Linked DNA regions of Stegostoma tigrinum. The protein of the gene in region 2 purifies or fractionates together with the protein of the main gene of each other region. This does not show direct contact. Links are inferred from orthologs where the notes say so. Each region holds a gene or a part of one and is shown on either strand. Other genes may lie near its edges.

Region 1 (7,132 bases), on a different chromosome or scaffold from region 2:
CCTTTTTGCAGTTATACTGTTTCACTATTGACTGAATGCACTGTGACCCCTGCCCCTGCTGAGCTGGCTTAAACTCTTCCCAACAGCATGAGCAAACCTTCCCACAAGAATTTTATTCCAATTCTGGTTCGGGTGTAGACTGTCTCAATAGCAGAGATTCTATTTTTCCCCCAAAACAGGTCCTGGTTGTTCAGTGATAATGGGAATTGCAGATGCTGGAGAATCCAAGATAATAAAATGTGAGGCTGGATGAACACAGCAGGCCAAGCAGCATCTCAGGAGCACAAAAGCTGACGTTTCGGGCCTAGACCCTTCATCAGAGAGGGGGATGGGGTGAGGGTTCTGGAATAAATAGGGAGAGATGGGAGGCGGACCGAAGATGGAGAGAAAAGAAGATAGGTGGAGAGGAGAGTATAGGTGGGGAGGTAGGGAGGGGATAGGTCAGTCCAGGGAAGACGGACAGGTCAAGGAGGTGGGATGAGGTTGGTAGGTAGGAGATGGAGGTGCGGCTTGGGGTGGGAGGAAGGGATGGGTGAGAGGAAGAACAGGTTAGGGACGCAGAGACAGGCTGGACTGGTTTGGGATGCAGTGGGTGGAGGGGAAGAGCTGGGCTGGTTGTGTGGCGCAGTGGGGGGAGGGGACGAACTGGGCTGGTCTTGGGATGCGGTGGGGGAAGGAGAGATTTTGAAGCTGGTGAAGTCCACATTGATACCATATGGCTGCAGGGTTCCCAAGCGGAATATGAGTTGCTGTTCCTGCAACCTTCGGGTGGCATCATTGTGGCAGTGCAGGAGGCCCATGATGGACATGTCATCTAAAGAATGGGAGGGGGAGTGGAAATGGTTTGCAACTGGGAGGTGCAGTTGTTTATTGCGAACCGAGCGGAGGTGTTCTGCAAAGCGGTCCCCAAGCCTCCACTTGGTTTCCCCAATGTAGAGGAAGCCACACTGGGTACAGTGGATGCAGTATACCACATTGGCAGATGTGCATGTGAACCTCTGCTTAATGTGGAATGTCATCTTGGGGCCTGGGATAGGGGTGAGGGAGGAGGTGTGGGGGCAAGTGTAGCATTTCCTGCGGTTGCAGGGGAAGGTGCCGGGTGTGGTGGGGTTGGAGGGCAGTGTGGAGCAGACAAGGGAGTCACGGAGAGAGTGGTCTCTCCGGAAAGCAGACAGGGGTGGGGATGGAAAAATGTCTTGGGTGGTGGGGTCGGATTGTAGATGGCGAAAGTGTCGGAGGATGATGCGTTGTATCCGGAGGTTGGTGGAGTGGTGTGTGAGAATGAGGGGGATCCTCTTTGGGCGGTTGTGGTGGGGGCGGGGTGTGAGGGATGTGTTGCGGGAAATGCGGGAGACGCGGTCAAGGGCGTTCTCGACCACTGTGGGGGGAAAGTTCCGGTCCTTGAAGAACTTGGACATCTGAGATGTGCGGGAGTGGAATGCCTCATCGTGGGAGCAGATGCGGCGGAGGCGGAGGAATTGGGAATTGGGGATGGAATTTTTGCAGGATGGTGTGTGGGAGGAGGTGTATTCTCGGTAGCTGTGGGAGGGATTGGTTGAACAATTTGCTACCACCTTCAGTAAGAAGTCCATTTTAATTTTGTGTTTAGCTCTTAATACTGTCTATGCAGAATGTCATTCCTAGTTCTACCTAGGTAGTTGGTACCAACATAGACCATGAAAACTGAATCTTCCCCTTCCAGGTACAAATGCCTTGCCAGCCTCAGCAAGTGTCTCAAACACTGACACTTCTGGCAGGCATTATAGCTGTCTGGTGCCTCGCCCTTTGTTGGATAAAATGGTGGTAATCCCCTGATTGCCACCACTTTCTTGTTGTTTCTATCACTTAAATGCCACCCCCTCCATACCTCGGCACTATAGTTAGTTTGCTCATTCAGCTTTTAGCCTCATTTTCAGCCAATCAAGCTGAGAGATCTTCAATCCTATTGGACACTGATACTCCTGCATTTCCACCCTCTGGATCAACTTGTCTGCCTCACGTACAGTCACGCCCTCCTGTCTTTGACCACTTACTAAATCAGCAGGCCCTATCCTAAATGGTGTGACAGATTCCCAGCACAAATAATCCATGTAATTTAGCCCCTCCCTGCACAGCAGTGTCTGCAGTTGAACCTCCAACTCATTAACTCTGAGCAAAAGCTACTTGAAAGTGAAACATTTTATACAGACATTTGCCCTAGATCACAATAGAATCAAGCAGCTCCCACATGATGCAGCCTTTACCGATCATAAATCCTGCATCCTTAAAGATCTTAGTTAATTACCGCCAACTTGCACACTGTTTTAAAACAGAACACATACCAGATATGCACCAAACTGGCTGCTTTCTTTGTCGTGCAGCAAAATCAATTCCTAAATGGCAGAAGTATTAAAAAGCTAAAGCAAAAGAACACAAACACTTGCTTCTCCTCTCCATCTTCATCAAACTCCCCACTTTAGATAAAAACTTTCAACATTGCAAACAATTTCCTTGATGGATTTGTTTTCCTCTGGCTGCACTAAACGACATAATTTTTAGGAACTGTACGGGGATTAGAGACACCAGATTTAACCATTTAGCTAAAATTTTAAGCTTATTTGCATAGTACTTCCCATTTATTGCTAATTACTGACTAGATTTGATTTTAAGAACCGAGTTTAAAAACAAAAATTTACACAAACTCTTCGCTCACCAAACTCAATTGTTCAATTTCCTCAGCTACAAAATATCACCTGCCCTTCCAACTTGATGGAGTCATAATTTGTTAAATAATTTATTAATTAATTAAATTTAACTAATGCCTTCAGTTCTGTCTGTGCTTTTTTATTTTCCTTATTTTGTTTAATATTCTACTTACACTTATTGAAATTCCTTAGTTTTCCTGATTACTATTAAACAGGAAATATCCAGTCGCCTACCTGTTTCCAGACATTAGTTTCTCTTTCTGTAATCTGATTCAGAATTGACAGTAGACGCTCCTGTATATCACAGTCCTGTATATCCTTCTCCATGATCTTATTCAATGAAGGAGCAGGCTCGAAGGAGTGAGTGGCCTACTCTTTTTTTCCTTGTTTGTATGTTCATGTGTACTCCCGTTCATATATTCCACTTTCCTGTATATTGGCCTCTCTTCTTGTATATTCCAGTCTTATATAGCTTACTTCTACGTATCCCACTTATGTATACCTAATTTCTGTATACCTAACTCCCACAGACCTCAAGACAACAAAGTGTGAAGCTGGATGAACACAGCATCTGCAGTTCCCATTATTTCTTTCCCACAGACCTCAGTTCAGTCTTCTGTGCTCTCTTCCTATACATCTTAGTATTCTCTGTAATCTGCTCACCTCCTATATACCCAATTCCTTTATATGTTCTCCTCATTACTTATGCTCCACTCTCACTGAAATCTCTCTCTTTATACTCCCACTAACGCGTCCTTCTTTACAGCTCCACACTCACCTTGCTTTTTACATGCCTCTATCCTCTTTGATAGCTTGCTGAGTCCCAGCAAAATTGAGGCCAGTGGGACTGAGAATGAAATCTCTGTACAGGTTGGGGTCATCTCTAACTCAAAGGAAGGTTGTCGTGCGCAGGCAGGTCTGACCAAATGTGTCTTGTTCATATCCGGGTTGAATTACTGCTGTATGTAGTACACAATGTTTAGAGATCACTGGTTCACAGAGATCAATAGTAAATCCTCAGCTGTCACCCTTCAGGGTTTAGGCTATGTAACAAGTGAATGGGGCGCTCAAAGGAAACATTACATGTACAGCCTATTATCTGTGACATGTCAATAACTTGTCATGGCTGAAACTTTACTTTTGAACAAATCACATCCTTTTTTCATGAAAAAAAGACGTACACTCGAAGTGTCTAAAGAAACGATAATATTCTGGTTTTAAACCTCTGAGGATTAGATTCTGATTACTGTTCTGTGTCTGCTGTGCAAAGAAAGAGGCATTGCCACATTTACATAAACAACACAGGAAATCAGTCATTCACCGTTGCCATGGTAGCACTGGGGAAATCCATTTTATTAAAGTTCACTGTGTCCCTCTTAGGAACATTGCAAACAAAGAGCTGGAATAATAGAAGTAGACTGGGTGCAGATATAATAGCATAACTCTGGGTTTTAGTATGGGCAGTCTTTGCTGCTGATGTTGGTCTATCTGGTAGTCTTGTTCAGGAAGCGCCCCTTCATGCCAGCAGCTGGGAAGAATATCAAAGTCACACTGAGGTTTCTGTTAGTGAGGGTGGAGGGAAGCAAGCCCTTAGAATGATTTTATCATTTATTTAATATTTCAGACGCCAAGATGAATTCCTTTGATTACTTCACCTAATGCTTCAAATGAAGCTCAGAGAGCAGAGCATTGGTTGTAAAGTGCGGTGGAATTGCTGCAGAAATAAGCTGGTGAAAGGAACAGTTGCAAGGAGGGAAGCACAAGGCATACAGGAGAGAAGGGCTAAATGAGAGAGAAAGAGAGGCAGAGAAGGGGAAGTTACAGCAGCTAGAAAGGGGAGGAAGTGGGAGACCTGCTGCTTCCTGTAGACAGAATGATGATTGAAGACAAAGCTGGGTGTGGACTCGTCTCTCAGGGCTGCTGCCTACACAGCTGGTAAGCTTGGATTCTCCTGAATATTTAACCAATTTTAAGAAGAGAAGAGTGAATATCTGCTCACAGTTTAATGAACAAGGTAAATTAGCCTTTTTTCTTTCCTGGTTTTAATTCTACACTGAGGAATTTTGTTGATTACTGTATTTTTTTGCCAAAATAGACTTGATTGTATTTGGGACTACAGATATTAAAGCCCTATGTGTATTCCACAAACCGATATGATCAACAACTGTGCAATAACCATTATTGATTATTTTATAGTGTTGATGCTAAGAAAATGTAATGCTTTAATCTGAAAGCTTGCAGAAACCAAGTATGTAGCTGTTAGCAAGGAGAAGAAGAGCTGTCTGCTGTGAAGGAAGGTAGAATGATTTAATTGTAATTCATTCAGTGTGATTGGGAATTTGTGCTACAATCATTTAATGCCGATTGTAAAATTTTATACAAAACAACACACAACAACAATCAGCAGCTCAGTTCTTCTGATAACACAGTATGCCACAAAGGACTCAGTATGGATTTTGCTGTATGATTTTTTTCGTGTTCATATTCTCATTGCAGCTAAATGTCTGTATTTGTAAAATAATTCTTCAAACCAAAATGCATAAAATAACTGAACAGTAGAGTAATAATACTCATAATAAAGAAATTTTTTAATATCAAAATTACTGTAATTCTGAGAGCTGTAGGGATGACTACACGGGTCAATGCAAAATCAACCAGTTTTTTTTCCATAATATCACAGCATCTGCATTGAAAAGTCCATCATATAGAAAAAAGGTGTTGATTTGGTTGCCAGTAATAGCATTTAATTAGTAACTATGAATGCTATTTTTATATGCTGTGAAATCACATGACTTATTTAGACTGCACCGCCTCCATTTTATTGAAGAAAATGTAGATACCTTAAAATTAATTCAGTGATTCATAGCTGCTTACTAAATTAATGCCTTTTGAATTCTATCGGACAGTGTCATGAAAGATGATAACTAGGCAATGAAGAAACGATAGTTTCTGATGTGAAATACCAGTCAAATAATTTGAAGTAAAGGCAGAACATGCTAGAAATATTCAGCAGGTCAGGGAGTGTCCATGGAATCACTAATCCGAAACTCTCCATAGCTTCTCTCCACAGTTTTTGCTTCACAGCTGCTGCCTGACAAGCTGAACATTTCCAGTTTTCTTTTAAATATTTTATCTCAGGTTTCCAGCATCTGCAGTATTTTGCATTAGAGATAAATAAGGTATTTTCGTTACTTTATGGAAATCCACAACCATCGAGAGGTTTACATTTTTACTAGTGAGCTGTATCGTGTGTTATAGGTCTTACAATTCCCAAATATATGAAAAAACAAATATTAAATATTGCAGACAAACTTGTATCATAATAGCCTAAGTTTTATATCATCACTAATTAGCTTTTATTGTTGTGTAATTTGAGACTTGTTTAATCAATTGGTTCCATGTTCAGACTTAATGTGCTCAGGGGAATGCAACTGTTACACAAAAGTGAACCAGTTGGGAAATTATACAAACAGCAGTCTCTGAAAGTTTACAGCCCAATGGGATTTCCATTGCCCCTCCTAATCAAGGAAAGAGATTTTCTGTTGCCTGTTATAATGATAGACACTTCAGAGTCAAATTTCTGTTTTTGACAGTACATTCCCTACGATCAGTCTGTTAAATGGAAATATTAGTGAAATTCAATAAGCATTTGATCTTAACATTTAAATCAGCTGCCAGATTTAGCCTGCTGTCAATATTTTCTTTTCTAATGTTTAGACATGTTAATGGGACTAGATTATTGACCAACACTACTTATTAAATTATTCCTTCATGTTACATTGTTAACTGAATTATGAATCCAATAATTAAACTGTAGCACTTATTTGAGTGTCACAAGGAGGTGCAATCTGATACAGATACCAATACAAGGAGTTTACAATTACGGCCTACAATTGTCCATCTATTGTTCATTCTGTATTGATGAATAAATCACCACCAGGTGTCTGAATTAAATTAGATATGATCACAATGGTTCATTTATAGAAGTACAGATGTTGCCTTTGGCACAATACCACCCTATTTGTTTGTAACTGGTACCAGTATCACTCATTACTTTAGCACCATTTTCAACAACAATAGTAATAGTTCATAGTCAGAGTTATTTACATTCAAGAATAAATTGAATGTTGGAAAATGATACCATATTATAATAGTTTTGTGCGTACAATGATCAGTGTATTTTTTTAATTGTAAAACAGATAAGTTTAAAACAAAGAAGAGCCACACCCTAAGAAGTGCTTTTAATCTAAATGTAGAAATTGTTGTGGAAGAAATAGACATTTTTAATGGTCATAAGATACATCACACTACGTGGATTTATATAGTAATATGAAGAACATAGGACTAAGAAACAGCCATTTGGCCCAACCAACCCTACCCAGAGGTTATATTTCATTTATATTCATTTATATTCCTTTATTTCCTCATTTAAATCCAACTCTATCAAC
Region 2 (7,895 bases):
GTTGAATTTCAGAGCTTTGAGGGAGATGGAGACAATTGGTCAGTATGTGACCATACTGTTACACATAGCTGGATCCATTGAGATTGGACAACTAAAAGTTAATCTTATCACAGATAGGACTAGCCAGGCATTAAAGATCCTGCAGTGAAAGCACATGTCCTGAGAGAGGGGAAACATCTCACAAAAAAGTGATCGGCATGGCAGCAGTTTTGAGATTGTGAACCATTAGCTACAGCGTATAAATGGGAGAACAGATGATGGGTTGAATTAAGCTGATTGACGTCCAAGGCCAAACGAGAAAAGTATTTCGGGAATAAAGGATAAATAGTTGCAGAAAAGCCAGTGGAAAAGTAACAGACAGATGTCAGAACGTGCATACATGGGCAGCACGGTGGCGCAGTGGTTAGCACTGGTGCCTCACAGCGCCGGGGACCTGGTTCAATTCCACCCTCAGGTAACCACCTGCGTGGAGTTTGCACATTCTCCTCATGCTCCTGCTTCCTCCCACAGTCCAAAGACATGCAGGTTAGATGGATTGGCTGTGCTAAATTACCCATCGTGTCCAGGGATGTGCAGGCTGGGTGGGTTAGCCATGGGAAATGCAGAGTTGCGGAAAGGGTAGGCGGGTGGGACGCTCTTTAGAGGGACAGTGTGGATTCAATGAGCTGAATGGCCTACTTGCACACTGTAGGGATTCTATGATTTTATATTACTCACACAAAAGATAGGGAGGAATGTTCAATGTGGGGGAATTAGTACCCTAACTGCAAGAAACTGGAATCACTTTTCACACAAGTGTTGAGCTAGAAAAAAAGCAAAGCAAGCTTATACAGATGTCAGCCAGTGATACACAAGCGATCCTTATGATGTGCGACATCCCAGACAGACCAGGGATGAAGCTGGCTGAATTACTTATGTTGTCACTGTTGACTATTATTCTGATTATTGGAAAAAAGACTAACCAAGTCAACAGCAAACAGTGAGATTGTCAAATACAATTCAATTGTTATGGCATTCCAGACATTGTGATGAGTGATGACGGCCCTCATTTCATGCTTGAAACATTCATTCGCTTCCTACAGGATTGTGAAATTCACCATCATACATTGGCTGTACACTATCCGCAGTCAAATAGAAAGGCCGAGACAAAGGGATCAGAAAGAAATCAAGTAAATCTGGCGCAGTCTTGTACAAGGCAATCCTTGAGCAGAGTCTAAAGGCTAATGTCACAACACACACAAATTATCCTTCCAATAGTGGAAATAAAACTATCAATGCCGGAAGCAGTAATATGTATAATATAAACATGAAATGACAGGAAGCAAAAATTCATTTTAATAAAACTGCCAAGTAGTTGCCAGAACTGAGCATTGGAGAGCCAGTCAGAGTCCAAACATTCAACATTCTCAACAATGGTTAGTTCATATAGCCAATTGGGACTTGTGGACAGCTACATTTAACTTGATCACACACAATGAATATCAACAACGAGATTTGTCAAAATAGCCGCAGATACATGCATACAACTGGAGACCAAACACCTTTACTACAGGCAGCAAACCAGGAAGAAGTGATCTCATCACCTCCACAGAGTACAGGACAACGTTCAGCCCTGGAGTTTCATTGTTCCCCAGCAATAGAAATGGATTAGTAACAACAGTTACCACACACTACCATATGGGATCAACACTCACTGGTGAAGGAACATCACCTTAAGAATGAGCAGGCAAAAGAACAGCCATCGGCAATGCCCAAACAAACAATTATGAGATCTGAAATAAATAGGGAGAGAGGGGGAGGCAGACCAAAAGATGGATAGAAGAGAAGATAGGTGGAGAGGACAGTATAGGTGGGGAGGTAGGGAGGGGATAGGTCAGTCCGGGGAGTACGGACAGGTCAAGGGGGCGGGATGAGGTTAGTAGGTGGGAAATGGAGGTGCGGCTTGAGGTAGGAGGAGGGGATAGGTGAGAGGAAGAACAGGTTAGGGAAGCAGGGATCTACTCAATGTACCGATTACTTATATATGTAGAAACTAATGGCAGTTGAACTGACTAGAGTTAACGCATCCTGGTCCCTTCGTGAATGATAACGTTCATTGTTAAACATATATACCGGATAACTTGGATAACTTATAACTGCAAATGATAGTGTTCATGTTTCTTTTTTTTAACCAAAAGGGGAGTGTTTGCAGAAATACCCTTGTATTTAGTGCACCAACTGGTCATATGACCAGTTCTTCTGGGAACTCCTGTTGGCATCTGTTAAAAACACGTCACTTAAAAGAGGAAGGAACAGCAAGGGTCTCTTACTGGCCCTCTATTCAGCTGACAAGCGATTCACTGCGTCAACAAGATTCCACCCTATGTTTCAGGTCAATGACCTCTCATCAGAACCTTTCTATTAATTTCTCTCTCTACAGATGTCCAACTTCTGAGAATTTTCAGTAATTCCTGATAGTTTATAAACACAATTTCATCATATGCAAAGAACTACTAAAATCTGAAATAAAAGAAAAATAACCTAGATACTGGAAATCCAAAATACAAGCAGAAAAAGTGATGGAAATATTCTGCAGGTGCGACAGCATCTGTGAAATGCAAACAGAGTCAATATTTTAAACTGAATATAATCTGAAAGAAGACTTGTATTCAAAGCAAAATGCTAACTGTTTGTCTCTCTCCAAATAAATCCAGATTATTGACTATTTTAAGCACTTTCTGTTTTGTTCAGCACCAAAATCCATACTCGATTTACTCAGATAAAAGAAGATGTATAATATTTGCAAAGTTTAACAATTTGAACTGTCACACAGATGACATCACGAATTCCTCATTACAGGTTGTTATTTAGCCTTTTAATTCTGAAAATCAATTAATTCCAAACATATGCTGGAATGGGAACATCTGAAACATTTATCTGCATGTAAAATGCCAACATTTGAACATTGAGTTTAAATTCAGACATACCTGAATGCTCCAGGAAGAATGCAGATGGGAGGCTGAAGTCAGGCTCTGAGAGACTGAGGATTTGAGAAACTAATCCAGCTTCAGTGGCTAAGTGATAATCTATTTAAAGGGTTACAGGTCATTTTGAATATTTTTACTGACACCTTTCGACAGAGCCTTTTTATAGTCACTGTAACTTTGCACTTTATTACAAGAAACGTAAGGAATCTAACAACTAAATACATTGGATATTTTGTGTGTCTCAGGAATGTTTGGAATGATTAGCTGTTCAAGAGATTCATGACTCAGTTGACGTCTTAAATAGATCAGCCAGTTGATCACATGGTTTAGTTTTCCAAATACGCAACACAGCATCTGAAAACTGTCAATCGTCCTTAAAATTCCTTTACAATTTCAAATCCACAAAATAAATTTTAAAAAAGGTGTATATTTTAATTGAATGTACAAGTTTGAATATATCAGTGACCAGGGATGGTCTGAACAACTTTGTTGACTTAGACATTGGGTGGAGTATTTACATTTTTAAAAATATAATTCATGGGATGTGGTCATCTCTGACTCAACTAGCATTTATTGCCCATCCCTAATTGCCCAGAAGACATTTAAAAGTCAACCACATTAGTCACATGTAAGCCAGACCAGGCAAAGATAGTAGATTTCCTTCAATAAAAGGTGAATTGGATGGGTTTTCACAACAATTGTTGGTGGTTACATGTTACCATTAGGCTTGCTGTTAATTCCAGATATTAATTTCATGATTTATCATGGTGGGCATTGGAACCCAAGCCCCAGGAACATTAATCAGCTCTTCTGGATTATCAGACCAGTGACATCACACAATGCCACTGTCTCCCCTGATAATAGGTGATTGTGTAGAAATTATGCTAATTAAAGTTTTATCAGACTACCAAATATTTTAAAATTACAGCACAAGAGGAAAATATTACAAATCCTGAAATTCTGATTAAAACAAGTGATGCAAATAGGAAGTTGTTGGCATCTGAAGAGATTGGAAATGGGTTCCTGTTTGCATCGGGAATCCCTTAGTATAAACGAGAGGGTGGAGTGAAAAGACAATCTGCCTATGAAGGTGGATCCAAAGTTTTTGAAAATTTTGTTCTGGGAGAAGAGTTTTACTACTGATAGCACCGCATGAAAATTTGAAAGCGCCCTGCCTGATTTTCCAGATCAGGTTTTTGAAAGCCCAGAGAGTAGAAAGTTGAGTTAGAAGTATTACTACCTGCACCTGAGTGAACTAAACAGGTGACCCTGATCAACATTTCCAGAAAAGCAACTGGTGAATCCACATCTTTGCCTGTGAAATAATGTGCAACTTTTAAGTAATCTGGTCAGTTTTATTAATTTCTTTTTATCTCGACTGACTGATTCTGTATCCACTGCCCTTTTGAAGAGAGTTCAAAATATCTACCACACTTTGTTTGTAGAAGAGCTTCCTAATATCACTCCTGAACAGTGTAACCCTAATTCTCAGTCTGTGTTCCCTAGTTCTAGAAACCCTGATAAGTGGAAATGGTTTATCTTTGTCTACCTTGTCTTTTCCGGTTAATGTCTCGAAGACATTGATAAGATCACCCTTTAGACTTCTACATTCTAGAGAAAACAAGCCTAATTCGTCTAACCTCCCCTCACAATCCCTGAAGTCCGAGTAGCATTCTTGTAAACCTACATTGTAAGCCAACAGTTCTCCAAAGGTCAATATATCCTTTTTAAGATGTAGTGCCCAGGTCTACTTAACCTCTCTGCATGTGAAAGTCCCTCCATACCCGATATCAGCTTAGTGAGCCTTCTCTGCACTGCCTCCAATCCCAGTAAATTTTAGTGACCCAATGTTTTCAGGGAGTATTACAGTCCATGACTGCTGATTCCTGAATAAATTAGTCAAAATGTCATATCGTAGTAACATCCCTACTAATAGGGTAAGTTCTCTTTGAATTTGAAGTGGTCATCCTGAGCAATAATTACTGACTTTAGGAAAGCCAAATCATATTTATTGCCCAAGCCAACAACAGTTTATGAAATTAAAATTGTAAATATCAATTGAGAGGAGAATTAACTCATCTGGTCACTGTTCCATTTAAAGTAAGCCAGTACAACTTACCAGTCTAATTATTTAATGGCCTAAATAAAATGATAGTGCCAGTCCATGTAGGAGGGCAGGAGAGAAGTGGGACCAGGTCAGCGGAATTTGAAACTAGATAATATCAAACTGCTCTCCAGTAAAAAAAAAAACCCTATTTTTAATCCCAAAGCAATGTTTCACTTTATTAGTGTTTGGTAATGTCATCCTTTCTTCACAACGGGGTCAATCACTAAGGGACTAATCTTAGGTCCACTGTTCCTGCTTTACTAGTGTTATCATCATGGACTAATTGTACCAATGTTTAAATGGGTAGCTCTGGCTAATCAAGGCCTCAATTGCTGAGATGGTAACCCTGGTAATAAAAATGAAATTATTAATCTAAACGTAGGTCTTCGAGATTCAAGCACTAAGGGCTGTGATTACTTCTTTTGGCAGCTTGTTCCATTGTGAGGTTGCCCTTGTGGGGAAAATAGGTTGTTGGTATACCATCTTGCAAAAGGGGATGTCTTTGCAGTTTGTGTGGATCGTTCCCTTGTGGTTTGTCATTGTCAGAAAGCACTAGGCATTTGTTTCTGTTAATGTCCGTTCTATATAGTATAGAATATGAGTTAGCCTATTTTCCCTCTTTTGCTGTAGTGATTCCAATTCGAGATCCACTGATGAAGGCAGTGACACTGGTGTATTTTCCAGTTGAATCATGGAGTACGTTTGGATTGTTTCAAGCTTATCGAATAATAGGATCTTTGTACAGAAGAGGCCCTTTGGCCCATTGAGTACATCACCAAAAACTACACCACTACCTCCACTAAGATGACTTTAGCATACTAGGTCCATATTCTTGAATGTTTTGGCATTTCAATAGTTCATCCATGTACTTTTAAAAAAGGTTGTGAGATGACCTCACAGGCAACCCATTTCAGACCCCACCCCAACCTCTGGTGAAAGAAACATTTTCTCTAAATACTTCCTTTTAACATAAAAAGTGTACCCCCTTGTTCTTGACCATTCACCGAAGGGGAACAGCAGCTTTCTACCTACCCTGCCCATGCCCCTTATAATCCTGTAAACCTCAAACCAGGCCCCTGTCAACATCCTCTACTCCAGAATAAGAACCCCCGAGCTTATCCAGCCTCTCTCTGTAGCTGAAATTGGAGCAGTACTCTGGCTCTGTAGTTAAGACAGCAGTGGACATGGGTTTGATTCCACCCTCGGGCGACTGTCCAAGTGGAATTTGCACATTCTTCCCATGTCTACACAGGTTTGCACTGGGTGCTCCAGTTTCCTCCCACAGTCCAAAGATGTGCAGGCTGGGTGAGTTAGCCGTAGGAAGTGCAGGGTTATAGGGTAGTGTAAGAGGGGTGGGCCTGGGTGGAATGTTGGGTTGCTGTGACTTGATGAGGTGAATGGCCTGCTTCCACGCTACAGGGATTCTTTGAAATGCTCCAGCCCAGGCAAAACTCTGGTGCATCTCCGCCACACCTTCTTCAATGCAATTGCATCCTTCCCATAGTGAGGCAACTAGAACTGCACATGGTACTCTATTTGTGGTCTAACGAAAAGTTCTGTACAGGTTCAATATAACATCCCTGCTCATATAATCTACACCTCAACTGATAAAGACCAGGATGTGTCTTCTAAACCACCCTATTAACCTCTACACCCAATTTCAAGAATGTTTGAACACACAACCCAAGATCACTCTCAGCTTCTTGGTGCTGTGGGTAAGTCACCACATTTCAGCTACTTATTAAAGAAATCTCATATAAAATCAAGTACTGAAACAATAATTCAAACTTTATTGCACGTTGCAACTAAACACAAGACCCCTTAAGTAAGCAAGTATAAGCCTGCGATCCAACTTAGTGATTACCTGAATTAATGATGAAATCTGGCCAGGACTTCAACCAAAAAATGGTCTGTCTCTGGAAGTCTCCAGGATTCAGTCCTTCTGTAATGTTGTTCTGTTAAGTTCTGCTGTTGAGTTGTTCTGGTCTTTGATTCTTATGCAGATATTCATCCTTCAGTCTCTGAGGTGATATATTGATTGATATTGCTTAAAATGTCCTTTCACCAAATTACTGCAAGACTGCAGCTGGATTCCTTAACAAAAGTAATTTCTTTGTTCCTTGTTACATTTGGCAAGACACGGCTTTCCTATGATTACCTCCTTAAATTCTTCTACAGGGCAATCAGTTAGTTACCCGTGTTGCATAAAGCATCCAGTCAAGCAGGTATCAAAGCAGTTTTCTCTATGTAGCCCCCACTCCCAGACGTGCCAAATACTTGCAATTCCTGTATAAGTCAGTCCTTGTCTTTATTAGTGTGTGTGTGAAACAGCTTATCTTTTGTTGGTTCATTCAGTCAATGAGCTGTTATTAAAATTCTGAAGTCTATAATATCACGTTAGTGTCCTGACAGTCATTGAGAGCTAATTTGTCTCTTTTGCCAGTAAGGATCCATACAAATAGTGTACACAACTAATAAATATTTGATAAGCTGTGACACTTATACGACCATTAACTCTTTCTGCACTGTTTCACCTCTGCAATCTTTTTCTTAAGTATTTCTCACCATTGGATCCAATCCTGCTGAAGCTATTGAAAAATGCAGGCAAATTTGACACAGTGTCATGTCATGCTTTCATAGTACACACATTGTCGCCTGCCATTGAAAAAGCCCAGGTGCAGATAGTGTAATCTGTAAAGTCAGACAATAGCTGATAAATTGCAGAAACGTTTCAGAAATGGAGAAGATTTTGAATAACATTCAGGGAACAGATGGAAATGGGAAGAAAAATGTTGAAAGAAAACAAGTGAGCAGTTTAAAAT

The links. Proteins that work in one complex are often made in the same cells at the same time.
Region 1: the proteins of guanine nucleotide-binding protein subunit beta-5 (region 2) and guanine nucleotide-binding protein G(I)/G(S)/G(O) subunit gamma-2 purify together in Homo sapiens (affinity purification with western blotting; 4 studies listed by BioGRID and IntAct, with this or other methods). This does not show direct contact. The link is inferred for Stegostoma tigrinum from reciprocal best matches to the Homo sapiens genes GNB5 and GNG2.

What each region holds. Positions count from the first base shown.
Region 1 is NC_081363.1:45,370,138-45,377,269, forward strand, and holds the start of guanine nucleotide-binding protein G(I)/G(S)/G(O) subunit gamma-2, read left to right. Parts: upstream 1-4,058; 5' UTR 4,059-4,698; intron 4,699-7,132. UniProt on the Homo sapiens protein: Guanine nucleotide-binding proteins (G proteins) are involved as a modulator or transducer in various transmembrane signaling systems.
Region 2 is NC_081386.1:20,114,328-20,122,222, reverse strand, and holds the start of guanine nucleotide-binding protein subunit beta-5, read right to left. Parts: upstream 3,068-7,895; 5' UTR 2,967-3,067; intron 2,539-2,966; exon of another isoform or gene 2,521-2,538; intron 1-2,520. UniProt on the Homo sapiens protein: Enhances GTPase-activating protein (GAP) activity of regulator of G protein signaling (RGS) proteins, such as RGS7 and RGS9, hence involved in the termination of the signaling initiated by the G protein coupled receptors (GPCRs) by accelerating the GTP hydrolysis on the G-alpha subunits, thereby promoting their inactivation.